Anolis sagrei: one gene and its partners. The protein of the gene in region 3 binds, or shares a complex with, the protein of the main gene of each other region. Links are inferred from orthologs where the notes say so. Each region holds a gene or a part of one and is shown on either strand. Other genes may lie near its edges.

What was found. Proteins that work in one complex are often made in the same cells at the same time.
Region 1: SNRNP200 (region 3) and RBMX2 share a complex: the UniProt entries of both Homo sapiens proteins name them as parts of the minor spliceosome. The link is inferred for Anolis sagrei from reciprocal best matches to the Homo sapiens genes SNRNP200 and RBMX2.
Region 2: SNRNP200 (region 3) and LSM2 share a complex: the UniProt entries of both Homo sapiens proteins name them as parts of the U4/U6-U5 tri-snRNP complex. The link is inferred for Anolis sagrei from reciprocal best matches to the Homo sapiens genes SNRNP200 and LSM2.
Region 4: SNRNP200 (region 3) and GPKOW share a complex: the UniProt entries of both Homo sapiens proteins name them as parts of the minor spliceosome. The link is inferred for Anolis sagrei from reciprocal best matches to the Homo sapiens genes SNRNP200 and GPKOW.

What each region holds. Positions count from the first base shown.
Region 1 is NC_090030.1:10,484,430-10,492,627, forward strand, and holds the start of RBMX2 (RNA-binding motif protein, X-linked 2), read right to left. Parts: upstream 3,119-8,198; 5' UTR 3,052-3,118; coding exon 3,047-3,051; intron 103-3,046; coding exon 1-102. UniProt on the Homo sapiens protein: Involved in pre-mRNA splicing as component of the activated spliceosome. As a component of the minor spliceosome, involved in the splicing of U12-type introns in pre-mRNAs.
Region 2 is NC_090022.1:21,207,041-21,214,284, forward strand, and holds the start of LSM2 (U6 snRNA-associated Sm-like protein LSm2), read right to left. Parts: upstream 3,119-7,244; 5' UTR 2,960-3,118; coding exon 2,957-2,959; intron 1-2,956. UniProt on the Homo sapiens protein: Plays a role in pre-mRNA splicing as component of the U4/U6-U5 tri-snRNP complex that is involved in spliceosome assembly, and as component of the precatalytic spliceosome (spliceosome B complex).
Region 3 is NC_090027.1:21,839,248-21,846,831, forward strand, and holds the start of SNRNP200 (U5 small nuclear ribonucleoprotein 200 kDa helicase), read left to right. Parts: upstream 1-4,580; 5' UTR 4,581-4,644; coding exon 4,645-4,689; intron 4,690-7,047; coding exon 7,048-7,211; intron 7,212-7,584. UniProt on the Homo sapiens protein: Catalyzes the ATP-dependent unwinding of U4/U6 RNA duplices, an essential step in the assembly of a catalytically active spliceosome. Plays a role in pre-mRNA splicing as a core component of precatalytic, catalytic and postcatalytic spliceosomal complexes.
Region 4 is NC_090022.1:179,133,911-179,141,410, forward strand, and holds the start of GPKOW (G-patch domain and KOW motifs-containing protein), read right to left. Parts: upstream 3,119-7,500; 5' UTR 3,077-3,118; coding exon 2,907-3,076; intron 1-2,906. Other genes in the region: FTSJ1 (tRNA (cytidine(32)/guanosine(34)-2'-O)-methyltransferase), read left to right, coding at 5,332-5,452, 6,164-6,233, 6,336-6,438, 6,559-6,637, 7,473-7,500. UniProt on the Homo sapiens protein: RNA-binding protein involved in pre-mRNA splicing. As a component of the minor spliceosome, involved in the splicing of U12-type introns in pre-mRNAs.

The DNA of each region.
Region 1 (8,198 bases), on a different chromosome or scaffold from region 3:
GCGCTATCGCTGTATTCCGAATGCCAGGAAACCTTATCTTGCACTCCCAGCTGTGCTTCACGTTCATTCAGTTCGTTGATCAGCTTCACCTTAGTAAGTGGGCTAGAAAAGGGTAAAAACAGAAAAGGGGAGCTGAAACCAAAAGCCACACTGCATATCCCACACCTGACTTGGGATAATTGGGGTTCTCAATATTTATATTTATTATGTTAGGATCATAACCTATTGGATAGCAGAATTTCAGAAGCGCTCTTATAGTTTATTGGGTAATGGATGATCACTGGGCGTGTAAATATCTTGTTTCTATTCTATGCTCTCAGCAGACAAAGATTCAAGTAGACTTCTTTACAATACTCATAACTGCATGTATTTAAATATATAGGCACATTTCTTATCAAGTTAAACTTTAAACATTTCAGTTTGTATCTTTAACTTAATAATCTTCAACAGTCTCTTCAAAACTATATCGCTCTGGACAGCTCTCTTTCATAACAGTCTACTTCCAAGGGACTCAAACCTTAACAGTCTTCTAACTTCCTACACTGGCTTCTGTACGCAAGCTGATTCAAGCCTCAACTGTCATTCCTCAACTGCCATCCTTTTAAACTTCATTCTAAGGAGTCACCGAACCAGTCACATGGTCTATAGCCCCTCCCACTGCCTCTAGTACATAAAGCTAAGAAGACTGCAAACCAAAGAAGACATACACTACAGGAAATAAACAACACATTATAAACAGACAAAACATTAAAAAGAGGAAGCTTGAGAAGGTTGCTATCTCCAACTATATTACTTCATTTTCATACCACCCTTTCTCCATGACTCAATTTGCTACATGGCTTTCTATTATGTATTTATTTGCTGAAGGCAACTCAAGGCAGTTTACAGGCGGCACAATTCGATGTCTCCAACAACATAAAACACAATTTAAAACATTCAACCTATAATATAAAATCAAATAAAACGAATAAAAGCATAAGTCCTCAGCGTCTCCTTACTAAAATAATTTTCGACTTGCCTCGTCTAGTCATTCTATGGATCTAGATTTGCCAGTTACACTGCATTTGCAAATGCTTGCTCAAAAAGCCAGGTTTTAACTTTCTATTAACCATGACCCAGGGTGCATCTAAACTACTGAATTAATTCAGTTGACCAGGAGCCGCTGGTGACATAGTGGGTTAAACCCTTGTGCTGGCAGGACTGAAGACTGACAGGCCTGAGGTTCGAATCCAGGAAGAGCGCAGATGAGCTCCCTTTGTCAGTTCCAGCTCCTCGTGAAGGGACATGAAGGGACTACTTATAACTGTTGACGTTATTTTGTAATTTTGTATATTGTATTTTGTGAATTGTTGGGCATCGAATTGTGCCTTTTGTAAGCTGCCCTGAGTCCCCCCTAGGGGGTTGAGAAGGGCGGGGTAGAGGCACCCCAAATAAATAAATAAGTAAATAAGGATGATAAAACATCTGGATGTCCCTGGGCAACGTCCTTGCAGATTGCCAATTCTCTCACACCAGAAGTGACTTGCAGTTTCTCAAGTCACTCCTGACATGAAAAAAAAAGAGTTGACGATAACTGCCATGGCTTATTCTGTGTAATCATGGGAGTTATCATTTGTAAGACTATTAGCCAATAATAATAATAACAACAACATTTTTAATTATGTTTTAATGTATGCATATTTGTATATTTTGAACAGTGTGGTCATACTTTTAATTTAAGCCGTTTTGAGTCTCCTTCAAAAGAGATAAAGTGGGGTATAAATAAACATAAACATAATAATAATAATAACAACAACAACAATAAGAGACACTTGGACCTAATGTGCATGTGTGCTGTAACATTATGTACATGTAAATAATAATAATAATAATAATAATAATAATAATAATAATGTTTTTGTCACACACTTTCCCTTGAGATGGGGTACAAAATGATTTGTTTTACTAACTTGTTATGGTTGATATTATATGTTAATATTTTAAAATGTTTTTATGATGTTGTTGGGCATTGAATTGTTGCCTTGTGAACCGCCTCAAGTTGCCTGCGGGCTGAGAGGGGTGGTATATAAATATAGCAAATAAATAATAATAACAACAACAATACCTTCTCAGTGGTGGCCCCCCACCTGTGGAATTCACTCCCGGGGGAAATCAGAACAGCACCAACCCTCCTCTCCTTCAGGAGGAGGGTGAAGACATGGCTGTGGAACCAAGCCTTTGGGCAACCAGACAATTAGACAATGACAACCAAATAAGACAATCAGATGTGTGAGATCGGCAGGATTGTCGAAATGGAACCAAAACAGATCTTTGAGTTAATTGTACACTGATGGGTAGGAGGAAGTTCCAGGTTTGTATTGTTTTTACTGATTTTATCATTTTACTGATTTTATTGGATAATGTTGAATTGTGGGAATTTGTACTGTTATATTTTTTGTGATGATTGTTTGTGTAGCAGGCGTCTAAGTGCGCCTTGCAGCTGTAAGCCGCCCTGGGTCCCCTTCGGGGTGAGAAGGGCGGGGTACAAGAACCCCAAATAAATAAATAAATATAAATAAATACTGTCAAAGCACAGCAACATAAAACACATACAAGAAAATACATATATTAAAATGCATTGTTTGTTTATTTATTTATTTACCATATTTATATACTGCCCCATTCAACCCGAAGGCGACTCGAGGCGGTTGATAATGATGCATTTGATAATAATGCCTAATGAATGCATTATTATCAAATGCATATATTAAAATGCACCACTATAAATACATATATTAAAACACATCACTATAAAATACTTATATTAAAATGCATTACTAAAATACATATTTTAGAACACATTACTATAAAATACATATCTTAAAAAGCCAAACTGTACAATGATTAAAAATACAGTAAGAATAGAATGCCAATTTAAAATTGCCAAGGTAGGTTAAAGACCTTGTCAAATTTGTCCAACTCCCACAGTTCCATAACACCGAGCCCTGGCAGTTAAAGCGGGCTCAAACTGCATTAACTCTACAGCGTAGATGCACCCAAAACTTACTTCATCTTGGTTTCTCTTCCTGTGTGAGTTTGCGCATGCGCGCTACTTCCCGGCAGGCTTCGGCGAGCGTCAGGTCGCGTCCTCTCTCTGGATAGGTCGAGCCTTCTCCGGGAGCAGCCAATCACGATCGTCCCTTGCCTCGTGCTCTTTGCTGCTTTCACGCGCCGCTTTGGAAGCCGAGATACTGCGCATGCGCAACCGCAGCTTTGTTGATAGTTCCAAAAGGCTGGCAGCTCAGAGATTTCCTTTCTTTTTTTGGCCCTGAAAAGTGTCATAAATGCGTCTAATGCAATTAAATCTCAAACCTCATATCTCACAATAATTAATGCATGTAACTCCTAATATACATTACAACACTGAATTTAATAACTAAGGGTGCGTCTACACTGTAGAATTAATGCAGTTTGACACCACTTGCATTACTATGGCTCAGTGCAATGGGATCCAGTCCCTTCCTAGCAAAAAAGCCATCAGATTTTAACCAAGGTGTGTATTTGATCCTATTTTAATATTTATAGTTTGGAGGGAGAATTTATAATAATTTACAATAAATTTATAATATAATGTAGTATAATTTATTGTATATACATGTAGTATGTATAATATTATAATGTAATGCAATATACTACTACTAATATGATATAATTTTATATTTATATTACATGTAATATTAGTAATAATATTACAATATAATGGTATAGTACAAAATAGTAATATTCAATATCGACATTGTACTATGCTAATAATATAATATATTGTATGTATATATACCTTGTAAGCCGCTCTGAATCCCCTTCGGGGTGAAAAGGGCAGCAGAGGAGGGTGCCCAGAGGAGGGCGACTAAAATGATCAAGGGTCTGGAGAACAAGCCCTATGAGGAGCGGCTTAAGGAGCTGGGCATGTTTAGCCTGAAGAAGAGAAGGATGAGAGGAGATAGGATAGCCAAGTATAAATATGTGAGACGAAGCCACAGGGAGGAGGAGGGAGCAAGCTTGTTTTCTGCTTCCCTGGAGATTAGGACGAGGAACAATGGCTTCAAACTACAAGAAAGGAGATTCCATCTGAACTTCCTGACTGTGAGAGCTGATCAGCAGTGGAACTCTCTGCCCCGGAGTGTGGTGGAGGCTCCTTCTTTGGAAGCTTTTAAACAGAGGATGGATGGGCATCTGTCGGGGGTGCTTTGAATGCAATATTCCTGCTTCTTGGCAGAATGGGGTTGGACTGGATGGCCCATGAGGTCTCTTCCAACTCTATGATTCTATATAAATGTCGTAAATAATAAATAAATAAATATTTGTATATTTTAAATTGTTGGGAGCCACTTTGCATCTCCATGTTAGATCTAACAGCAGAATAGAAATAATAATATAATAATAGTTTTCATTTGATGTTTATGCTAAAAAAATAAATTACTATTGTTTTTATCTAGTCCAACCCCTATCCATGCAGGAAAAGCACAATCAAAGCACCCCCAACAGATGGCCACACCAGCCTGTTTAAAAGCCTCCAAGGAAGGAGCTTCCACCACACCTCGAGGCAGAGAGTTCCACTGCTCAACAGCTCCCCTTACAGTAAGAAAGCTTTTCCTAATGTTCAAGTAGAATATCCTTTCCTGTCATTTGAACCCATTGCTCCAAGTCCTAATTCCAAGGGCAGCATAAAACAAGCCTGCCCCCTCTTCCTTATGACAGCCTTTCAAATATTTATACTCTCGTGTCTCCTCTCAACCTTCTCATCTGGAGGCTAAACAGACCTAGCTCTTTAAGACGCTCTTCAAAGGTATATATGGTCTCTAGATTTTGAACATTTTAGTCATCTTCCTCTGGACATATTCCACTTGTCAATATCTCTCTTAAATTGTTTTGCCCAGGATTGAACGGAGTGTTATTCCAGATGAAGTCCGAGCAAAGCAGACTAGATGAGCACCATGACTTCCTTTGATCTAAATGCTATACTCCTTTTTGCAAGATTTTTCATATCAAAAAACGAGAGAGAGAGAAGCAGCAGTGGAAAAACACAAGAGCACTGGACTTGCACAGCTATGGAACTCTGCTGTAGCATTTCAGTCAACAAGGCAGGCCAATTAAAACCTTGTCTGGAAGTGGACACCCTATTGATCCGCCTGCAGCCGGCAGAGGAGGCCATCAGCAGGGAGCCATGAACAGCCTGCTTCACAAAGGGACAGGGAATGACCTTTTTGGCACACAATGGTATCATTGGTGCCTGAGGAGCTGAGTCATTCAGGACTCACCAGCAGCAGTCTTTTTTCCCTCAATTTTTCGGATCTGAGATGTTTCCTTCCATCTTGCCAGTCATATTCAAACCTGGATTGCTGCAAGTTTTCTGGAGTGTATGGTCATGTTTCAGAAGCATTTTTTCCTGACGTTTCGCCCATATCTATGACAGGCATTCTCAGAGGTTGTGAGGTTTGTTGGAAACTAGGAAAATTGGGTTTACATATCTGTGGAATAATGTCCAGGGTGGGAGGGTGAACAGGTGGGAGAAAGAACTCTTGTCTGTTGGAGGCAAGTGTGAATGCTGCAATTGGCCGGTTTGGTTAGCATTGAATAGCCTTGCAGTTTCAAAGCCTGGCTGCTACTTGCCTGGGGGAATCCTTTGCTGAGAAATGTTTCCAGACATGGAACAATCAGGGCCAGCTAATACTTCCCAACAAAGAATTGCCCCAGGCAGGAAGCAGCCAGGCTTTGAAGCTGCACAGCTATTCAATGCTAATCAAGGCGGCCAATTGCAACATTCACACATGCCTCAAACAGACAAGAGTTCTTTCTCCCACCCTGAACATAATTCCACAGATTTATGTTCTTGCCTAGTTTCCACAGAACTCACAACCCCTGAGGATGCCTGACATAGATGTGGGTGAAACATCCGGAGAGGATGATGATGATGATGATGATGATAATAATAATAATCTTTATCTATATCCCGCCACCAGCTCCCCAGAGGGGACTCAGGGCAGCTAACATGAGGCCAAGCCCAAATACAACACAACAAAATAAAATACAGAATGCTGAAAACAAAAAATTACATCAAAATAAAATAATGTACAGTAGCAAAATAGGATAAATAAAACAAATTAACACAGGCCAAATGGAGGAGGTAAAATGACAAAACCCTGGATGAAGTAGGAAAGAAAATATGTAATTAAGGGGAACCCAAAAAGGCTAAACAGTGGGGTAGGCATTCAATTTAGGACTGGGGAAAGTGCATCATAGGGGCAACACTATGGAGTGCTTCAGGAATATGGCCATACATCCTGGAAAACTCACAGCAACCCAGTTATTCCCGCCATGCAAGCCGTTGACAACACATATTCAAGCCACTGTATTTTCACTTTCCCATCTCTTAACCTCTCAGTATCTCAGGGATTGGACTAAATCAGTGATGGGCAACCTTTTGAGTTTACTGTGTCAAAATTTGCCAAAAACCTGAGCATAACTTGGGTGGGGTGTCAACTTTGAGGAAAAAAAACATAATGTATATTCCATGCTGAGTTATGGAGTGAACAATGCTCAAACGTGCAGATGTTAAATTTGTAGAGCCTTTTACAGATTTAAGAATGGAATTAGATTGGCTCTTATAAGGTGTACTTCTCTGTATGCGGCCGCATGTGGCCGCGTGTCATCAAAAATAGCTATGCGACGTGTCAGTGCTGACACGCGTCTCATAGGTTCACCATCACGGGACTAGATGGTCCATGTGGTCTCTTTCAACGCTATCATTCTATGATTTTATTATTCTCTGGGAGGGAAAATAAAAAATATTGAGGTACCCTGCCTCTGGTCCTGAACAGCCCTCCAATAGAAACAGACCGTTCTATGCCAACTAGGCATTTCCTAAAGAGGATTTGCATGATGAGCAACGTGGGAACAACGTTCATACTACAGTTCCCATTATACTCCATCAGTATAATGTCCCTTTACGTCCCACCCGGAGTTTAAGATTGGCCGGGGGGGCCCTGCTCTCGACCCCGCCAGTGTCACAAGTGAGGCTGGCGGGGACGAGGAGCAGGGCCTTCTCGGTGGCGGCTCCCTGCCTGTGGAACTCGCTCCCCGGGGAAATCAGAACAGTGACCTCACTTCTCTCCTTTAGGAGAAAACTCAAAACTTGGTTGTGGGACCAAGCGTTTGGTCAATGAGCAGGTGAAGAATGGATACCATCTAGGAAAGGTATAATGGATTGGAATCTGGAACCCGGAAAGACAAATGCTGAACACGTGAATTGTTCTATATGCTGTGTTACTGATTGTTAATTTGCATCGTTGTTTTAACCATGATAACTGTTTTAATTGTTTATTATGATTGTCACTTGTATAAATGTAATTGTATGGGTGCCGAATGGTGCCTCGTTGTGTAAGCCACCCTGAGTCCCCCCTCGGGGGTGAGAAGGGCGGGGTATAAGTGCTGGAAATAATAATAATAATAATAATAATAATAATAATAATAATATCCATAGAAAACAGTGTATAGAAGGGGTTCCCCTATATCACCTTTAAAGCAAACACAGCAAAACATTTTATGCAATCCGAAAGAACAGAACAAACACCTTGGCGAAAGCTTGTGTGTACCATGGCCCATTTAATCAGATCCGTATCACGAACTACCGTTGTGAAGAGCACTTTGTCAATCTAAAGCATTACAACAGCTCGGTTATAAATCATTCTTTTGCAATACCTGCGTGAACTTACTCACACACAAATGCCTCTTAAGTGGGGACACTCCACACGTTAAAATAAATGAGATGAGAACCGGAGGTTTGCAAGGTGCAACAAAACATAACCCTTCCACACACAAAAATTGACAGTGCAAGTTTGGGATGGTGGTATCAGACTGACATTTATAATTTTCTTCTTGGTGCAATTGACTGCCTGAGATAAGAATGAATTCTCCTTTAAATTTAAAGCATTCTAATTCTCAGGGATGTTTCAGGTTCTTGCACTTGCAGAGGGTTGGTCTAGATGGCCCTTGGGAGCCCCATGATTCTATGGAATCACCCAGAAACTGACCAGTAACCCCCGGTCCATGTTTTATCTACTTTTGTGGCTCGTCCACAAACCCATGTGCTAGCATTCAAAGAGGTGAAAACACACAAGACATATATTTGCTTTTCCAGGCTCATCAAATCCATTTGTCTT
Region 2 (7,244 bases), on a different chromosome or scaffold from region 3:
GTTGCTTGTCTGCAGCACTGGGTGTAGAATTAATGTAATTTGACATCACTGTGGCTTAATGCTATGGGGTCGTGAGAGTTGTAGTTTCACAAAGCCACTAAAATGATCCCTATGAGGAGTGGCTTCAGGAGCTGGAAAAGTTCAGTCTGAAGAAGAGAATGACATGATTGCTTTGTATAAATATCTGGAAGACTCTCATAAGGAAGAAGGAGCAGGCTTGTTTTCCGCTGCTCTGGACACTGGGACTCAATGGAGCAATGGGTTCAAATGACAGGAAAGGAGATTCCACCTGAACATTAGGAAGAACTTCCTGACTGTAAGAGCTGTTCAGCAGTGGAACTCTCTGCCTTGGAGTGTGATGAAAGTTCCTTTTTTGGAGGCTTTAAAAAAAATACTGAATGGTCATTTGTTGAGGATGTTTTGATTGTGGTTTTCCTGCATGGCAGGAGACTGGACTGGATGACCCATGTGGTCTCTTCCAACTCTACTATTCTAAGGTCTTTGGCCTTCTCTTCCAAAGAGAACTGGTCCTCACCAAACTGCAACTCCCAGGACTCCATAGCATTGATCCATGGATGGTCAAGGGGCATCAAACTACATTGATTTTGCAGTGTACAGCTGGCTCGTGTCCCTGTTTGTAGGAGGTACAGTTCCCAGGTGTTGCTTTCATTCTTCTCTCTAAACAGAATATTGTGTCACAGTAAATGTTATATTTCAGCATTATCACTTATCTGAGCTTCTTTTGTGTGTGTGTGTGTGTGTGTGTGTCAGGAGCGACTTGAGAAACTGCAAGTCGCTTCTGGTGTGAAAGAATTGGTCATCTGCAAGGACATTGCCCAGGGGACGCCCAGACGTGTTACCATCTGGTGGAAGGCATCTCTCATGCCCCCACATGGGAAGCTGGAGCTGACAGAGGAGAGCTCACCCCACTCCCTGGCTTTGAACCACCAACCTTTTGGTCAGCAGTCCTGACCATTGTGCCACCAGGGGCTCCATCTATCTAAGCCAGTGTTTCTCAACCTGGGGGTTAGGACCCCTGAAGGGGTCGCGAAGGGGTGTCAGAGGGGTCGCCAAAGACCATCAAAAAACACAGTATTTTCTGTTGGTCATGGGGGTTCTGTGTGGAAAGTTTGGCCCAATTCTATCATTGGTGGGGTTCAGAACGCTCCTTGATTGTAGGTGAACTATAAATTCCAGTATCTACAACTCCCAAATGTCAAAGTCTATTTTCCCCAAAGCCCATCAGTGTTCACATTTGGGCATATTGAGTATCCGTGCCAAGTTTGGTCCAGATCCATCATTGTTTGAGCCCACAGTGCTCTCTGGATGTAGGCGAACTAGAACTCCCAAACTCAAGGTCAATGCCCACCAAACCCTTCCAGTATTTTCTGTTGATCATGGGAGTTCTCTGTGCTAACTTTGGTTCAATTCCATTGTTGGTGGGGTTCAGAATGCTCTTTGTTTACATGTTAACTATAAATCCCAGCAACTACAACTCCCAAATGACAAACTCAATCCCCCCGCCAACCCCACCAGTATTCAAATTTGGGCATATCAGGTATTTGTGCCAAATTTGCTCCAGTGAATGAAAATACATCCTGCAGATCACTATTTACATGGCGATTCATAATGTTAGGGTTATGGTTGGGGGTCACCACAACATGAGGAACCGTATTAAGGGGGCGCGGCATTAGGAAGGTTGAGAACCACTGATCTAAGCTAAAGGCATATGTAGCCATTTTGACACCAGCAAAAATGATACATGGGAGTTATAGTTTTGCAAGGTCTTTATCCTTCTCTGCCAAATAACAGCTGGTGCCTCGCCAAACTTCTTCTTCTTCTTAGGCGATCCCTCGCTTTCCGAGGATGATTGCCTTCCAATATTCTTGTGGGTCCATATGTGGCTGTGGAGCCCTATTCTTGCTCTGCATCTTCTTCCGCAGTGAGGGCATTGGTTTCCTGGTGGAAGGCGGTCTTGGTCGGGGTTGGCTTGACGCGCCTTCCTCTTGGCACGCTTCTCTTTTTCGCCCTCCACTCGTGCCTCCTCAAATTCTGCAGCACTGCTGGTCACAGCTGACCTCCAGCTGGAGCGCTCAAGGGCCAGGGCTTCCCAGTTCTCAGTGTCTATGCCAGAGTTTTTAAGGTTGGGTTTGAGCCCATCTTTAAATCTCTTTTCCTGTCCTCCAACATTTCGTTTTCCGTTCTTGAGTTCGGAGTAGAGCAACTGCTTTGGGAGACGGTGGTCGGGCATCCGGACAACGTGGCCGGTCCAGCGGAGTTGGTGGCGGAGGACCATCGCTTCAATGCTGGTGGTCTTTGCTTCTTCCAGCACGCTGACGTTTATCCGCTGTCTTCCCAAGAGATTTGCAGGATTTTCCGGAGGCAGCGCTGATGGAATTGTTCCAGGAGTTGCATGTGACGTCTGTAGACAGTCCACGTCTCACAGGCATATAGCAGGGTTGGGAGGACAATAGCTTTATAGACAAGCACCTTGGTCTCCCTACGGATGTCCCGGTCCTCAAACACTCCCTGCTTCATTTCGGAAAAATGCTGCGCTTGCAGAGCTCAGGCGGTGTTGTATTTCGGTGTCGATGTTGACTTTGGTGGAGAGGTGGCTGCCAAGGTAGCGGAAATGATCAACATTTCCTCGCCAAACTACAACTCCCATGATTCAATAGCATTGAGCAATGGCAATTAAAGTGATGTCAAGCTGCACTCCTTCTACAGTATAGATGCACCCCTATTAGACACGAGTGCATGGACACCCCTGCAAGCAGGTTCCCCTTCCTGAATTGCAAACGAGTCCTGTGCCTGCTTAAGAGAAGACCCCAAAGACAAGAGACCAACAATCACAACAATGGAGGAGTTTCACCCCATTGAATTAATGCTTTTACTTTCCCGGGGGGAGGAGAGGGTGCTTGATGGAATGGCCAGCACTGTGACGTCACAGACTCACCATAACAGCCGCCGGCAACTCCCGCCGCACAGAACCCGCGTGGATCGAAGCCCCTGGACCAGAAAGAACTTCCCGGGCTGCGCATGCGCGGTGAGAGCCTCTGCGAACGCTCAGGAGACGAAGCAAACGGAAGCGCTGCCTTCGCGTGAAGCAGGAAAGGGAACCGGGCTGCCTTCTTAAAGGAGCCGCGGCCTAATTCTTCCCTTGATTGTTCCATATCTTAAAGGGGCCGGCTGATTAATTAACACGGCATTTAAAAGGGAAGCGGCTTCACTTTTCTTTGGGGTGAATCTACATTATACAATGAATGCAATTTGACGCCACTTTGAATGCCTTGGCTCAATGGTATGGAACCCTGGGAGTTGTAGTTTTCCAAGAGAAGTATCTATCTACACTATAACATTGAGGCGGTTTGACCCCGCTTGAACTGCCATGACTTAGTGCAAGTTTTCCAAGAGCAGTATATATCTACACTGTAGCATTGATGCAGTTGGACCCCACATTAATTCCCATAACTCAGTGCAATGAAGTTGTGGGAGTTGTAGTTTTCCAAGAGCATTATCTATACTGTTGCATGGATGCAGTTGGACCCCACTTGAACTGCCTTGAATCAGTGTAATGGGAAGTTGTAGTTTTCCAAGAGCAGTATCTACTCACTGTAGCATTGATGCAGTTTGACCCCACTTGAACTCCCATGACTTCATGCAATAGAGTTGTGGGAGTTGTAGTTTTCCAAAAGAAGTATCTATCTATACTGTAGCATGGATGCAGCTTGACCCCACTTGAATTCCCATGACTCAATGCAATAGAGTTGTGGGAGTTGTAGTTTTCCAAGAGAAGTATCTATTCTACACTGTAGCATGGATGCATTTCGACTCCACTTGCACTGCCATGCCTCAGTGCAATGGAGTCGTGGGAGTTGTAGTTTCCCAAGAAAAAAAATATCTATCTACAGTATTGATGTATACTTAGCATTCATGCATTTTGACCCCACTTGAATTCCCATGACTCAGTGCAATGAAGTTGTGGGAGTTGTAGTTTTCCAAGAGCAGTGTTTATCTATATGTAGCATGGATGCAGTTTGACCCCACTTGAACTGCCATGAATCAATGCAAAGGGGCTGTGGGAGTTGTAGTTTTCCAAGAGCAGTATCTACTCACTGTAGCATGGATGCAGTTTGACCCCACTTGAACTGCCATGACTCCATGCAATGGGGCGGTGTGAGTTGTAGTTTTCCAAGAGAAGCGTCTATCTAGACTGTAGCATGGATGCACTTTGACCCTACTTGAACTCCCATGACTCAATGCAATGGAGTTGTGGGAGGTGTAGTTTTCCAAGACACGTGTCTATACTATAGCATGGATGCAGTTTGAACCCACTTGAACTCCCATGAGTTAATACAGTGGTGTTGTGGGAGTTGTAGCTTTCCAAGAGAAGTATCTATTCTAAACTGTAGCATGGATGCGGTTCCCCCCCCCCCCCATTTGAACTGCCATGCCTCAGTGCAGTGGAGTCGTGGGAGTTGTAGTTTCCCAAGAAAAAATATCTATCTACAGTATTGATGTATACTTGGCATTAATGCAGTTTGACCCCACTTGAATTCCCATGACTCAGTGCAATGGAGTTGTGGGAGTTGTAGTTTTCCAAGACACGTGTCTATCTACACTGTAGCATGGATGCAGTTTGACCCCATTTGAACTCCCATGACTCAAAGCAATGGCATTGTTGTGGGAGTTGTAGTTTTCCAAAAGAAGTATCTATATATATTGTAGCACTAGCCGTCCCCTGCCACGCGTTGCTGTGGCCCACATAGGGGTTCTGTGTGGGAGATTTGGCCCAATTCTATTGTTGGTGGGATTCAGAATGCTCTGTGATTGTAGGTGAACTATAAATCCCAGCAACTACAACTCCCAAATGTCAAGATTCTATTTTCCCCAAACTCTACCAGTGTTCACATTTGGACATATTGAGTATTCGTATAGAGTTTGGTCCTATTGAGTATTCGTATAGAGTTTGGTCCAGATCCATTATTGCTTGAGTCCACAGTGATCTCGGGATGTAGGTGAACTGCAACTCCAAAACCAAAGGACACTGCCCACCAAACCCTTCCAGTATTTGCTGTTTTGTCATGGGAGTTCTGTGTGCCAAGTTTGGTTCAATTCCATCGTTGGTGGGGTTCAGAATGCTCTTTGATTGTAGGTGAACTATAAATCCCAGCAACTACAACTCCCAAATGACAAAATCAATTTTTTTGAGTGAAGGACATACATTGGGTTGTTAGGTGTCTTGTGTCCAAATTTGGTGTCAATTCGTTCAGTGGTTTTTGAGTTATGCTAATCCCACAAACGAACATTACATTTTTATTTATATAGATTGATGCAGTTTGACCACACTTGAACTGCCATGACCCCATGCTATGGAGTTGCAGTTTTCCAAGAGAAGTAACTATCAACACTGTAGCATTGTTGCAGTTCGACTCCACTTGAACTCCCATGACCCCATGCAATGGAGTCGTGGGAGTTGTGGTTTTGCAAGTTCCTTCTCTCCAATGAGTACTGGTGCCTCACCAAACTACAAATCCCAGGGTGCTTTTTTATCCCCCTGATTAAAATAAAAGGATGGAGGGAGTAAAAAAACCTTGGACAACCAACATTAAAAAAATTCCTTGTCTGCACCAGATGGCAGCAGAGAGCCATTTTTTGGCTTTCCTAAGGGAAATTCTCATTACACTTTAGATCAGGCATAGGCAAACTCTGGCCCTCCAGGTGTTTTGGACTTCAACTTCTACAATTCCTAACAGCCTACCAGAATTGTGGGAGTTGAAGTCCAACACATTGGAGGGCCGAAGTTTGCCCATGCCTGATCTAAAAGTGTAATGAGAATTTCCCTTAGGAAAGCCAAAAATGGCTCTCTGCCATTTGGATCCACCAATGCATCCTCTGATAGTTGACACATTAGAGCCACATAGGAATCTTGAGGTCCTCCAGCTTGATTCTATTGCTCAGATCCCCCAAAATGTTGACACCTTCTGCATTTAAATGAATGGACACCCTCTGCAATTATCTCTTTGTTTTATGTATAGATGCCGTGAAATGCCCTTATCTCTTGCATCCCGAAATATGACTATGATGTGGAACGCCAGTATGTAAAAAGGATATTGCAGAACTTTGAGAAAGCAAATGGTAACATAAGCTTTTGTAAGCATCTGAGGAGGTAGACTAAAGGTGCATCTGCACTGTAGAATGAATTCAGTTTTGAAATTGAGCAATTTCAAGGGGTGGCAGATATTGAGATCTGGATCGCAGATAGCGAAACCCAGTGTGTGGATACCGAGATCCATTAAGTGGGTAACAGGTACCGGCAGCAGGCCGACTGTGGATCCATGCCTGGTGAGACTAAGAAGCTATAACCCAATGTTCCCCAATCAAGAAATCTCACCAGTTGAAGATAAAGCTGTCAAAAAATTAAAAATGCTCAGTTTCTGCTCTGTAGCTAACCTGTACGGTTCTGTTCTGTGCTTTAAAAATGTTTAAGGCTATCAACTCACCCTCCGCATGTGAGGTTCGCTCAGTGATACGTTTTTTTGTCAGCAAGGAACCTGCCTGCTGCAGAAATTCATCGACAGATTTGTGAAGTGTACGGTGAGACTGTTATGAGTGAAAGCAAAGTGTGTAAGTGGGTACGACAATTCAAAGATGGCCGTGACAACGTCCATGATGAGGACCGCTCCGGTCGCCCTTCTTTGATTACAGATAATTTGGTGGCTTCAGTTGAAGTGAGGATTCATGAGAATAGGCGCTTCACAATAACAATAATAAAAAAATTTGAATTGTCATACCCACTTACACACTTTGCTTTCACTCATAACGGTATCACCGTACACTTCACAAATCTGTCAATAAATTTCTGCAGCAGGCAGGTTCCTTGCTGACAAAAACCGTATCACTGAGCGAACCTCACATGCAGAGGGTGAGTTGATAGTCTTAAACATTTTAAAAGCACAGAACAGAACCGTACAGGTTAGCTACAGAGCGGAAACTGAGCACAGTTGTTCCCGAGGCATGCCGGTACACGATGCACGCGCTCGTTGCAGTATGCGCGCGAACTACTAGTGTCTACAACAAAACGGACATTACTTAAAAAATACCCCTCGTATTTTTAATTACAAAAATGTGAGCCAAGCACTGAAAGGGTTGAATGAATGCAATGACTCAGCAAAAGCTATACTTCTATATAAGTAGGTGTGCCTGTTGCTTAGTAATGCCTCAGTCTGAGAGAGCTCTCAGTC
Region 3 (7,584 bases):
AAGACAAGTGCATCTTATGGAAACCTATTGTGAAACCATGGAGACCTTTGCCATCAGTGATGGTTGTTCTGCATTCTCATGGTGCAACCTTCCTCCCTCCCTCCTCTTATCCTTTTTTTTGTGCTCCACTGCCATGTAGTCTATAGGCACCACATTCGGTGACACCATTGGAGAGAAAAATAAACATGGTAGATTTGCAAAAGTGGAAAGTCATTGATGATGATGATGATGATGATAATAATAATAATAATAATAATATTCTCTCTAAACATGCAAAGATATCTCAGCCTTGTCTGTCTACCACCTGGAGGTAAAGACTCCTTTTAAAGCCAGATTTTTAAATGGTTTTATGTGTGATGCCCATGTGATAAAATAAACCTAGTTTTTTTCTATACCATGCCTGCAAACTTTGGCTCCCTATTCAGCTCTCTTGGGCAGAGAAGGCTCAAGACCTTGGGAAACTCGAATTCCCAGGGTTCCAAAGCCTTGAGCCTTGGCAGTTAAAGTGCTATCAAGCTGCATTCATTCAGCAGTGTAGATGCATTCTTTGAAGACTTGGTCTTGGATTGCAAAATAGTCTGAAACCTGGGAAGCTTCCTGTAGTCCAGGAGTGAGAATTGTATGGCTCTCTCGATATTATTGGATTGCAAGACGCAGTGGCGCTAGTCCATTTAGCCCAGTGGTTCCCAACCAGTGGTCTGCAAAAACTAAAATATGGTCCACAGCCTCACTGTTACTACACCATTGCAACAAGAGTGACTGGTCTCCAGAAACCCTTTTATAGTGCCAAGGCTTATCAAATATGGTTTTCTGTGGGAAAGCAGACTACTGGATGACATATGTTCTGTATCAGAAACTAGAGCTGATGTGGTCTATCCAATGTAGTTTTCTGAATCAGCACCCCAAATAACCAAACAGAATCTAAAGTTGACCAAAAACTGATTTGTAACCCTTTTGGTACTAATATTGGGGAGTGGTCCCTGGTCAAAAAATGTTTGGAACCACTGATTTAGCCAATGGAAAAGTAACACCTAAAGTTGTAGTCCAAGCACATAGATAGCCAGAGATAGAGTGCTGATGGAAGTAGAACAGTTTGTGGCAGGATGAAAATCATGTGTAGTTCACGTTTTACGAGTCTACACACTGTCTTGCCAGAGAAAGAAAATATGCCATACAGATGATCAGTAAAACACAAGTTTAATTGATAAAGTGCAGAGCGACATATATACAATCACGAGAACAGTTGCATTGACTCACACAATGTCTTTTGAGGTTCAAATCGCATTTAAGCATCTATGTGGAAGATCCTCTTCCAACAGCTCATGAAGCAAGAACTGTCTTTCTCTGTCTGCAAGCTCTTGCACAGCTAAAGCCTAAACATGTAACTGTTGCCAAAACTCCCAGGCTCAGCTAGCTTGGCCTGACCAATCAGCTTCGTGCTTTGCATTTTCAGTTAACACACTCACCAACTGATTTTTTTACATGCCCTAACGCACTCCAAAACCTGAGGTTTTTGTTTTTTTGTTGTTGTTGTGTCAGGAGTGACTTGAGAAACTGTAAGTCGCTTCTGGTATGAGAGAATTGGTCATCTGCAAGGACGTTGCCCAGGGGATGCCCGGATTTTTGATGTTTTATCATCCTTGTGGGAGGCTTCTCTCATGCCCCGCATGAGGAGCTGGAGCTGATAGAGGGAGCTCATCCACACTCTCCCCGGATTCGAACCTGCGACCTGTCAGTCTGAGGTGAACCTTAGGTGAAGGTAAACCTAAGGTGAAACCTGAGGTGAAGCTAAGCCAGTGTCAACCCAAGAGAAACTTCTTGGAAGAAACAACCTTGATGATTATGTTCCAAATATTTGGAAAACACTGAGCCAGTTCCAAATGCCCCCATAACGAATTTTAGGTATGGGGCTTTCCAAGTAAGGTGGCCTCCATTCTGGTTCCCAGAATCTCTTCAGGACATTTTCTCATGGACATATCTTGGTCCTCCTTGACATAGGGTTGCCCTTGAAGACCACCTGCCTTACCCAGTTGGAATTGCTGGGAAGTGCCGTTGGTATATTTAGAACATATAAAAGGAGATACTCCAGTGCACAGCATGTTGCCAGATTGCGGAATTTGTGGCGGCGTTGGATGCCCAGAAATGTCCTGCTTGTTGCGGTTAATTGAGTCATCTAATTCTAGGAACTATTCCTGACTCTCGTTTTCTTAGCGTCCTATGATCCAGTGAATTCGTACTGTTTGGCCCTGTTTGGCATTTGCTAATATCAACTTCGTGCCGAATTGCACGCCCTAGAAGACAATACATCTTACCTGTTTATTTCCTATATAAAAAAAGGATAATTGGGCACCAAATGGTCAAGGACGGAACTGTTGATTTTTCCAACACAATAAGGCTCCTTCTACACTGCCATATAAAATCCAGATCATCTGATTTAAACTGGATTATATGTCAGTGTAGGCTCATATAATCCAGTTCAAAGTAGATAATGTAGATTATCTGATTTGATAACCTGGATTATATAGCAGTGTAGAAAGGGCCAATGCAGCCCAAATCTAACTGTGAGTGCATCTACAGCAGGCATGGGCAAACTTTCTAATTTTGGGGCTGCGTGCAAGGACTCCCTGCGAAGAGGACTGGCTGCCCAGTGATTGAAGGAAGGAGGGGAAGGAGGAAGGAAATAGAGAAGGAAGGAAGGACAAAAGGGAGGAAGGGAGGATGGAAGGAGAAAGAGGGATGGAAAAACAAAAACGAAGGAGAAAGAGAGAGGAAAGAGGTAAAGAAGGAAGGGTGGAAAGGAAGGAAGGAGGGTGGGATAAAGAGGGAAGGAAGGAGGAAGGAAAGAGAGAAGGAACAAAAGGGAAGGAAAGGATGTAAGGAGAAAGAGGGAGGTAAGGAGGAAGGAAAGAGAGACAAAAGGGGAGGAAGGATGGAAGGTTGGAAAGGAGGAAGAGATGGAAGGAAGAGAAAGATGGAAGGAAAAACAAAAGGGTAGAAGGGAATGGAGGGAGGGAGAAAGAGGGAAGGAGAGAGAGGAAAGAAGCAAGGGTGGAAGAGAAGGGAGGAAGAGAAGGAGGAAGGAAAGACATAGGAAAGGAAGGATAGGATCATAAGGGAGAGGAGGGACTGAGGAAAGAAACCAAACCATTTAATTTAAACCCACCAAGACACCCATGACATCATGGTAAACACACCTGGACTTCAAAGTCTTATCTCGAATCCTCTGAGAATATCTAGCCTGCTTTTCATGCTCTGTGTTCTCAGGTCTAATCTATACTCCCTTGAAAACTCCCCTTCTTTCAAAAGCCTTTTCTCAAGGGAACTGGTACTTTAATTTTCCCATCGCCTAGGAACGAGCGGAAGAATTTCAAAATACCAGCCTCGTCTGCCTGCAATTCCCTCATGGATACCTTATTTTGGAAATAATTTCCCCCCTCATCCTCTGAACATTCAGAAAAATCCTCAGATGCTTGCCAGACTACAACACCAATGACCCTCCTTCACGTGAAGCTTCTTCTGATGAAGATACTCTATACCAGTGGTTCTCAACCTGGGGTCTCCAGATGTTTTTGGCCTTCAACTCCCAGAAATCCTAACAGCTGGCAACCTGGCTGGGATTTCTGGGAGTTGTAGGCCAAAAACATCTGGGGACCCCAGGTTGAGAACCACTGCTCTATACCAAAAGGCAAAGACTGGTACTTTGTGGTGTTCATTTCAGCTATGAAAAATATGGTCCTAGCTCTTCTGTAAAAATCTTATTCCGCCAAGGGACTGGGAACAGGTATATATGAATCTACAGTATTACTATGGAAATTAACCTTGAATAAATAATACCAATGCCAACAAAACTACATACAGCAGAGTCTCGCTTATCTGACCTTTGCTTATCTGACAATCTGTCTTATCCGACACCCCCTTTTCCTCCAGCATTCCCCCTTCGATGAAAAGAGCGCTCCCCAACTCTCTCTCCAGGGGCAGGGGACGGCTAGTAATATCACAGATTTGAAAGGGACCCCTAAAGAAGGACTATGATATGGTGCATGTTCCAGAGTAGGCAAACCAGACAATCTTTACATCAACACTGACAAAGAAACAATAAAAATACTGTTTACTCACAAGCATAAAGACATTACATATATTTGAAACCAACACTTTTTCATTACTTTATTTTCCAGATCATTGGACTGGGCCACAGCAACGCCTGGCAGGGGACGGCTAGTATGTAACACACACACACACACACAAACTATACTAGGCCTGGGCCAACTTGGGCCCTCCAGGTGTTTTGGACTTCAACTCCCACAATTCCTAACTATCTACCGGCTATTAGGAATTGTGGGAGTTGGAGTCCAAAACACCTGGAGGGCCGAAGTAGGCCCAGGCCTGCCGTATACATTGCATACCTTCTTTTCTGACTTTCCTTCACTCATTTGAAAACGAGGCTGAAAAAAAATGGCCGCCCTCAAACCGGAAGTCCTCCCAGGCTTCGCCAAGACCAGCCATTCTAGGAGTTCATCATGGCATAGAGAAGGCGGCTGAGGCATCCCCTACGCGCCGGAAAGAGGCAGCTTAGGACCGGAAGCGGAAGTTCTCAGTGGCGCTTTTGCGTGCCAGAGGCGTTTGACGGAGTGAGGGAAAGCAGCGATGGCGGACGTCACCGCCCGGAGCCTCCAGTACGAATATAAGGCGGTGAGTGGAGGAAAGGAGGCTGAAAGGGGGGTGGTTTATTTATTTACTTACAGCTAAGATACCTCCGATAGAGTTACAAGGTAGGTAGATGCAGGGAACGCCGTGGAATTCAGGAAGGCCTTCCCTCGACAGGTTTCCCCATGACTTAGAATCATAGAATCAAGGAGTTGGAAGAGACCTCATGGGCCATCCAGTCCAACCCCATTCGGCCAAGACGCAGGAATATTGCATTCTAATCACCCCTGACAGATGGCCATCCAGCCTCTGTTTAAAAGCTTCCAAAGAAGGACCCTCCACCACACTCCGGGGCAGAGAGTTCCACTGCTGAACGGCTCTCACAGTCAGGAAGTTCTTCCTCATGTTCAGATGGAATCTCCTCTCTTGTAGTTTGAAGCCATTGTTCCGCGTCCTAGTCTCCAGGGAAGCAGAAAACAAGCTTGCTCCCTCCTCCCTGTGGCTTCCTCTCACATATTTAGGCATGGCTATCATATCTCCTCTCAGCCTTCTCTTCAGGCTAAACATGCCCAGCTTCTTAAGCCGCTCCTCATAGGGCTTGTTCTCCAGACCTTTGATCATTTTAGTCGGCCACCTCTGGACACATTCCAGCTTGTCAACATCTCTCTTGAATTGTGGTGCCCAGAATTGGACACAGTATTCCAGATGTGGTCTAACCAAAGCAGAATAGAGGGGTAGCATGACTTCCCTAGATCTAGACACTAGGCTCCTATTAATGCAGGCCAAAATCCCATTTGCTTTTTTTGTCGCCACATCACATTGTTGGCTCATGTGTAACTTGTTGTCCACGAGGACTCCAAGATCTTTTTCACACGTACTGCTCTCAAGCCAGGCATCATCGTCCCCCATTCTGTATCTTTGCATTTCGTTTTTCCTGCCAAAGTGGAGTATCTTGCATTTGTCACTGTTGATCTTCATTTTGTTAGTCTTGGCCCATCTCTGTAATCTGTCAAGATCGCTTTGAATTCTGCTTCTGTCCTCTGGAGTATTGGCTATCCCTCCTAATTTGGTGTCATCTGCAAACTTGACGATCATGCCTTCTAAAACACCTGGGGACCCACAGGTTGAGAACCACTGGGTTAAGCAAACGAACCCAGAGGGTGATTCTCCCCAATGCTTAATTATTTATTATTTATTTACAGTATTTGTATACTGCTTTTCTCACCCAGAGGGGGACTCAAAGCGGTTTACACATAAGTAATGGCAAAAATTCAATGCCAGTATAAACAATTACAATTATACACAACAATTAGACATGAATCAAATTAAAACAAAACATCCATGAGCAATAAATGAGCCCATGAGCTTACATCCATGGGCATGTAAGACATACCTGTTTTGACAGGCCTTTGATTTTTAATATTGCTGGTTTTAAATTGTTTTTAAATTGTGTTAGATTTTAGCCGTTTTTGTAAGCCACTCCGAGCCCCAGGGGAGTGGCGGCATATAAGTTCGAATAATAAATAAATAAAATAAAACAATCATTAAAACAATAAAACAGTCTCGTCCGTCAAATCGCCGTTCCAGTCATTGTCTTTTCGAAATGCTGCATACATTTAGTTCTACTGCCCTAATGCCTGGTCCCAAAACCATGTTTTTAATTTCTTTCTAAAAGCCAGGAGGGAGGGAGTGGATCTTACCTCATTTGGGAGTGTGTTCCATAGGTGGGGGGCCACAGCCGAGAAGGCCCTGTCTCTCATCCCCACCAGGCGCATCTGTGCTGTTGACGGGAGTGAGAGCAGGGCTTCCCCGGATGATTTTAGATTACAAGGTGGGACGTAGGGGTGGATATGTTCGAACAAGTAAGCTGGGCCAGAACCATATAGAGCTTTATAGGTCACAACCAGCACTTTGAATTGGGCTCGGAGATGTACTGGCAGCCAGTGGAGCTGGCATAGCAGGAGGGTGGTATGCTCCCTGCATGTCACCCCAGTTAGTAATCTGACTGCCGCCCGCTGAACTAGCTGAAGTTTCCGAACTGTCTCCAAAGGCAGCCCCACGTAGAGCGCATTCGGGATGTAACCAGAGCGTGGACCACCGTGGCCAGATTAGATCAGTACAGGCATCATGTTCTTATGAGATTTTGTTTTGTTGGTGCCTCTTGAAATCCTGCTTTACAGTGTTATGTTTTATTGGTCTTTTGGAACATTACTTGCTTTTTAGAACTTTTATCTTTTACTTTTCAATAAACTACAAAGACTTCAGTCTGTGTGCAGTTTTGGTGATTTCAGCATGGTGAATCTACTCTGAGGTGCGACAAACATGTTATTTCTCATAATGAGGTAAAAATGGTAAGAATTCTCCAGTGTCCTGATCCGCCTTCTTGTTTGTTCTTTTTTCTAGAACTCCAATCTCGTACTCCAAGCTGACCGCTCCCTGATTGACAGGACTCGTCGTGATGAACCCACCGGCGAGGTCTTGTCGCTTGTCGGGAAGCTGGAAGGCACCCGGATGGGGGACAAGGCCCAGAGGACCAAGCCCCAAATGCAGGAGGAGAGACGAGCAAAGTGAGCAGACCATTTTACAGTTGCACCTAGAGTCAAACCCATGTTGCTTATTGTTCCTGAGCTGTTAAACTACTTGAGCTTACATTGTTTTGTCACTCAGAAAGCTGAGCTGTGTACAGCCAGCTAACAGGAGCACAACAATATTTGCTTGTTGAATGTTAAACCAGGCATGGGCAGACTTGGGCCCTCCTGGTGTTTTGACAAATGACAAATGGCCTGTATCATGACTTGAACTGCCATTCAATCTGATGTCCTATATTATATTAACTGATACTGTTAATTTGCTCTGTTTCCATGATTTTTCCTATGCCGTTATACATTGTCATCTACCTTACTAAACCACTTTATCCTTTAACTAGTTCACGTAGTGGTT
Region 4 (7,500 bases), on a different chromosome or scaffold from region 3:
CATAACAAGCCAATTTTTCCAAAATCTAGTTACCACAGGGTCAGAAAGTGAAGTGAAATCTTCTTAACAGGGGCATAGACAGCCAAACAACCACCACAGGGGTCTTAACCCTTCCCCATGCTATTTAAAGCATGTGTATTTGTGTGCACGCATGTATATGTATATGTGTGCACACACATACATATACTGTATACATATTTGGCTGGAGTTACAGTTCTGTTTCCGCTTACATACAAATTCAACTTATGAACAAATCTACAGAACCTATCATGTCTGTAACTCAGGGACTACTTGTATAGCATCAGATACTCTACAGCTGGGGTCCTCACACTTTTTAAACAGAGGGCCAGGTCACAGTCCTTCAAACTGTTGGAGGGCCAGATTATAATTTGGAAAAAAAACATGAATGAATTCCTATGCACACTGCACATATCTTATTTGTAGTGCAAAAAACATTTAAAAACAATACAATAATTAAAATGAAGAACAATTTTAACAAATATAAACGTATTAGTATCTCAGTGGGAAGTGTGGACCTGCTTTTGGCTGATGAGATAGGATTGTTGTTGTTGTATGCTTTCAAGTAGTTTCAGACTTAGGTCAACTCTGAGCGACGGCCGGGTAAATGACCTTGGAGGGCTATATCCGGCCCCCGGGCTTTAGTTTGAGAACCCCTGATCTACAGCATCACAAATATACACAATTGGCACTAGATAAGCCAGCTAATAAATGCAGTGAGCCTTCCTCCTTTAGAGGCCTTTAAACTGATGTCAGATGGGCATCTTTCAAAAGTGCTTCCGTTATGTATTGAGTGCTGCACCTTCCATGCTTAGTATTCTATGGTTCTAAGAATTTGCCATCTCGATCCAGATCTCTAGTAATAGACTTATATGTACCAATGAATTGTGTGCACTTAGCAAGTAAACTGTACTTCATGTTATAATACATTTGTTAGCCGAAAGCAATGGTATTCCCCATAGTCACCTACGGATGTGAGAGCTGGACCATAAGGAAGACTGAGCAAAGGAAAATAGATGCTTTTGAACTGTGGTGTTGGAGGAAAGAGCTGAGCGTGCCTTGGATTGCTGCTGTGTTTTTCAGTGTTTTTATGAGTGACGGTCACTTGTTGGCCTGATAGGTGTATTCTGTCCAAATTTGGTGTCAATTTGTCCAGTGAGTTATGTTAATCCCACAAACGAACATTTCATTTTTATTTATATAGATATACCCAGGGCCATATAAAGGTTTGTTGGCTGGAAAGGATTCCTCCAGTCCATCCTCCAGGAAATAAAGCCCGACTGCTCATTGGAGGGAAGGACAGTAGAGGCCAAGATGAAGTACTTTGACCACATCATGAGAAGAAAGGAAAGCTTGGAGAAGACAATGATGCTGGGGGAAACGGAAGGAAAAAGGAAGAGGGGCCGACCAAGGGCAAGATGGATGGATGGGATCCTTGAAGTGACTGGATTGACCCTGAAGGAGCTGGAGGTGGTGACGGCCAACAGGGAGCTCTGGCGTGGGCTGGTCCATGAGGTCACGAAGAGTCGGAAATGTCTGAACGAATGAACAACAACAATAGCCGAAAGCTGTCAACAACTACAATCTGAACACTAGTAAGTCTCTAAAGAGTGTAATTTTGACAGAGCCAGCCTGCCTCATTGTAACACGGTTTCTGTTCCTGGGTTATCAATGTAACCCAGCGGTGGCCGGGAGAGCTTTTGCACAACTAAAACTTGTGCGCCAGCTGTGCCCGTACCTTGGGAAGTTGGATCTGGCCACGGTGGTCCACGCTCTTGTTACATCCCGATTAGATTACTGCAACGCACTCTACGTGGGGTTGCCTTTGAAGACTGTTCTGAAACTCCAAATAGTCCAGCAGGAGGCAGCGAGATTGCTCACCGGAGCGTCATACAGGGAGCATACCACCCCCCTGTTGTGTCAGCTCCACTAGCTGGCGATCCAATTACAAGCACAATTCAAAGTGCTGGTTTTGACCTACAAAACCCTATACGGTTCCGGCCCAGTGTATCTGTCCGAACGGATCTCCCTTTACGTCCCACCTCGGAGTCTAAGATCTTCTGGGGAGGCCCTGCTCTCGACCCCGCCTCTATCACAAGTGAGGTTGGTGGGGACGAGGAGCAGGGCGTTCTCAGTGGTGGCCCCCCACCTGTGAAATTCACTCCCCAGGGAAATTAGATCAGTGTCATCCCTCCTTTCCTTTAGGAAAAAATTGAAAACATGGATTTGGGACCAGGCATTCGGATAATCTGGCAGATAAAGAAAGGACTTTGACGATGGACAGGAATTGACTAATGAATGGAATTATGGAACTCTGAAAGACGAATGCTGAGCATGAGATTAGTTTTATTGATGTGTTATATACCGACTGTTTTAACTGTGCTAATTGTTTTAATTATGGTTTTGTACGTTATGTGTATTTTGTGTCGGCATCGAATTGTGCCTTTTTGTAAGCCGCCCTGAGTCCCCCCTCGGGGGTTGAGAAGGGCGGGCTAGAAGTACTCGAAATAAATAAATAAATAAATTTCCTAATTGGGTCTATCATAAAAACATGGAAAAGATTATTAAACTGCAAAGACCTTGCACTGGGGCATCTTGCAACACATTTGCTCTAGTTTTTCAATGAATATCTCAATAGAGGATCGACCAATTCCACATAGTTTACGGCAGCCACAAAAACGAAGTTTCTGGAGTAGAACAACTACCTTCAAAGTAAGTACTGCCCATTTAAACATTGAAATAACACTGTCAAATCCTTGAATTTAACAACATTGAGACGAGGCAGTTAAAGCGGTGTCGAAGTGCGCTCATTCCACAATGTAGCTGCGCCTTGAGAGGCGCCCCCTGCTCCTAGGCCCAAGCTGGTCGAGAGCAGGAAGCCGGCCTACCTTTGCAACTCCCGTCCCTCGACGGCTGAGAGGAAGTCGGGCTCCTGCTTCGCCTCGCCGCCATCCTGCCCGGTCACCACCAAAAACCGCCTCCGCCCAGTGGTCCGAGTGAAGCCGAAAGAGACCGGGGCCGGCGGAGTGGCCGCTGACTTCTCTGCTCCTTCCGCCATCTTATTTTCCCCTGCCTTGCCCCGCCCCCATCGCCACTTACGTCGTTGCGTTGCATCATGGGAGACGAAGTTTTAGAGACTCCCGCTTCTTTATCGAAGTTCTGAAACAGAGGCGCCTGAGGACGACAACTCCCAGGATGCAATGCGGCAACAGCACTTCCTTCCGGAGCCGGCCGCACATAAGTCATGTTGCGCATGCGCTTCTTCTCTTCCACGCTTTTCTCTGCTCTCTGAAGATAACAATCGAGCACTGTCTGAATTTACACTGGTAATTATAGAGACCTTTGCTTTTTCTTATTCGGTTTGCAGATTTATAAAGAGATCATCGTTTATGGATGTCTCCACTGGATACCCGATGTCCTTCCGTTGTCTCGGTTTGTCAGGAAAACTCCTCCCATTTTTTCAGATGCTTTTAAGGCCCCCTGTCATATAATCCAGATTACCAAAGAAGATCAGCCACATTAGCTGCTTTGAACTGGATTATATGAGTCTATACAGTCTGGAAGGGGGGGGGCAGAAGACAGTTCCATCTTGTCTCCTGTGGTTTACTTATATAATATATTGTATATACATATATTTATAATATTGTAATGTAAAACAATATAATACTAATAATAATACAATATAATAATTATATATTTTATATTACATGTCATATTACTAATAAAATTACAATATAATGGTAATTATAGTATATATATTAAAATGCTCTGTGCATAATGAGTACCTTAAAAACAAAAGAACCAATTACACCAAATTTGGCAACAAAACATTTCACAACACAAAGAGTGACCATCACTCAAAAATTATGATTTTTTCATTTGGGAGTTGTAGTTGCTGGGATTTATAGTTCACCTACAATCAAAGCGCATTCTGAACTCCATCAATGATGGAATTGAACCAAACCTGGCACACAGAACTCACTTGACCAACAGAAAATATTGGAAGGGTTTAGAGGGCATTGATCTTGAGTTTGGGAGTTGCAGTTCACCTACATCCAGGGAGCACTGTGGACTCAAACGATGAAAGATCTATGCCAAATTTGGCATGAATACTCAATATGCCCAAATACGAACACAGGTGGAGTTTGGGGGAAATAGACCTTGACATTTTGGAGTTGTAGTTACTGGGATTTATAGTTCACCTACACAGAGCATTCTGAATCCCACCAACGATAGAATTGGCCAAACTTCCCACACAGAAGCCCCAGGACCAACAGAAAATACTGTGTTTTTCTTTGGTGACCCTTTTGACACCTCCTCACACACACACACACCTGGGGTCCCGACCCCCAGGTTGAGAAATGCTGCCTTAAGGCCATCCAGTCCAACTCCTTTCACCAGGGCAAGAAAATATAATCAAAGCCCTTCTGACAAAGAGCCATCCAGCCATAGATATAAATAGATAGATATGATCCACACACAGATATAGTATCATAGATTTGAAAAGGACCCCTAAAGAAGAAAAATTATATGTTGCATGTTCTACAGTAGGCAAACCAGACCATCTCCACATCAACACTGGCAAAGAAACAGCAAGAAATATTGTTTACCCACAAGCATAAAGAAATTACATATATTAGAAACCAACACTTTCCCGTTACTTTATTTTCCAGATCAGCAGACTGGGCCACAGCAACCCGTGGCAGGTGAAAGTTAGTAATATATAATACTGACATTATACTATGCTAATAATATATATTGAATGTATATATATCTTGTAAGCCGCTCTGGGTCCTCTTCAGGGTGAGGAGGGTGGCATATAAATGTCATAAATAATAAATAAATTTTCTATAGCAGTGTAGAAGGGGTAATTCCACACGGCTGTATAACCCAGAATATCAAGGCAGATAATTCACATCTGCTTTGAAATGGGTTATCAGAGTCCACACTGCCATATAATCCAGTTCAAAGCAGGTAATGTGGGATTTTATACAGCTGTGTGGAAGGGGCTTTAGCCAGTGGTCAGAGAGGTTAGGAACTTTTGTCTAGAAACACATGTTTTCCATTCCTATAGTGTGGGGGTTTGATAGGCTGTCTGCTCTGATTGTGCATGGCAAGGGGTGGACTGGATGACCCACGTGGGCTCTTCAGCTTTATTATTCCTTGAACCATCTTCACTTTTAACCAATATGGATGCCTTGATTTCATTGATTATAATAAGCCAATGCTGCTGCTCAATTCATAATTCTTGCTGACATAGTAGTCAATTGTTTTTCTTCTCTCTCACATCCAGGACATTTCATGTAAGGGAAGATGGGACGTTCCTCTAAGGACAAACGGGACATTTACTACCGCTTGGCGAAGGAGGAAGGCTGGCGAGCTCGCAGCGCCTTCAAACTTCTCCAACTGGATGAAGAATATCATTTGTTTCAAGGTGAGCCCCATCATACAATTGGAATTCATCTATCCAGAATGTGTGGGGTGAAACATTTCAGTTGTGCATGGGAGTGGTACAATCTTGCAGATGTTCTTGTACTGCAACTCTGATCAATCCTAGCCATCTTAGCCAAGGAGGACTTTTATCTGGTAGGATAAAAGTGATGGGAAGTTAAGCTGCAAGAAATAATCAAATTTACTCTGCCGAATAGCTGTCAGTTTTGGCCCTCCATATGTTTGGGACCTCAACTTCTAGATTTCCTGAAGGTCCAAAATATCTGGAGGATCAGAGTTTGAGAATCACTGGTCTAGACCACTATTCTTAAACTGTGAGTCCCAACCTCAAATGGGGTCCCCTTTAGCTCAATATTGGGATCACAAAAAAATTGGAAAAAGGTTTCTGAATGCCACCCATTTTCACAAATTTGCAGTGTTTACAGTGGACTGTGCAGAAATCACTTCAAGCTTGGCAATAGAACACTTCCTTTGAGCATATACAGAATACTGTTTGTTTGCCATGGAGATAATATTTTGGGGCTCAGAAGCAAGGCTATCATTTCGAAATTTGAGCAAACTTGGAAACCTTCCTTTTTCCCCTACTATCTTTTTTCAGGAAAGAAACCCATGAGTTGTACTTCCTAGTCTCATATTGCAGTCTTCTTGCCATGGCATCCCCTTACCTTTCTTATTCCCTCTTTTCTCTCTCTAGGTGTCTCAAGGGCTGTGGATCTCTGTGCTGCTCCTGGGAGCTGGAGCCAAGTTTTGAGCCGAAAACTGAAGTAAGCAAGTCACTTTGTTGTAGTGTTTATGGGGGACTACCACCTTATAGGAGATAACCAGAAATTCATCCTCAACACACACACACCCTTTTTTTTCTACAGAGGAGAAGGTGCTAAAAATGAAGATGTCAAAATAGTGGCTGTAGATTTGCAAGCCATGGCTCCCTTGTCTGGAGTTATTCAAATTCAGGGGGACATTACCAAGGTATTGTGTTTCCAACCCAATTCAAAATCCACCCTACCTCTCCTTGAATTTAAGGCCTACTTAATAGCAACCCTTTGGCCATTATAACCCACCCCATCACTTCTCTCCCTCTGCTTCCAGGTCTCTACAGCAGAAGAGATAATCCATCATTTTGAAGGGCAACCTGCTGACTTGGTGGTGTGTGATGGAGCTCCTGATGGTAGGTAGAAATCACAGCCATAATCTTACTGTTTCTACTTTTCCCAGGATTGTGCACCATTGGCCAGGGAGAATCTGCCATCTCTAAACAGGGTGCAGTCAGCCTCCCACATTCTCTGGGCTTAAAGGCACAGTGCCTCCCTAAATGTAAAATATCATACATGAAAAATTGTTGCTTTTATTAGCTGAGAAAACATGTCTCTAGGAATTTCTAGATCTTTCTGCTTGGTTCTTGGCTCAGCATCTGCTAGAAACTGACCATAGGATTGCACTGGAAAGCCAAGAGACCTTAGAGAAGTGTTCTTTTAAGTATTCTTCAGCGTGACTTCATGGCCTGGAGGAAGTTGACCATAGAATCACACTGGAGGACCTGGAGATTCCTAGAGAGATTTTAATGAAGTCTATAAATCAAATCCACAAAAGTCGAACCCACAAATGTGTAGCACTGACTATATTTCTCCAGTACCTTACTTCTTTCATGGCTTCTGTGCTCCTGTCATAATTGCTTATGTCTGTGTACTGCAGCCACATTCTCAGTCCACCTGGGACTTATTATTTATTTATTTATTTACTATATTTCTATACCACCCTTCTCAGCCCGAGGGCAACTCAGGGCGGTTTACAAAACTGGCACAATTCGATGCCACAATAATATAAACAGTTAAAAACATATAAACATCCATAAAATTCCATAAACAATAAAATCAATAAAACATAAATCCTCTGTATCTAATTTCCAAAATCTTTAGCCAATTGCAATTCTCCAGTTAGCTTTACAAAAAGTGAGGAATAGCTTCCTGTATTTATTTTGATGTATGTATCCTTTGCTGTTCCAGTGACAGGGCTCCATGACATTGATGAATA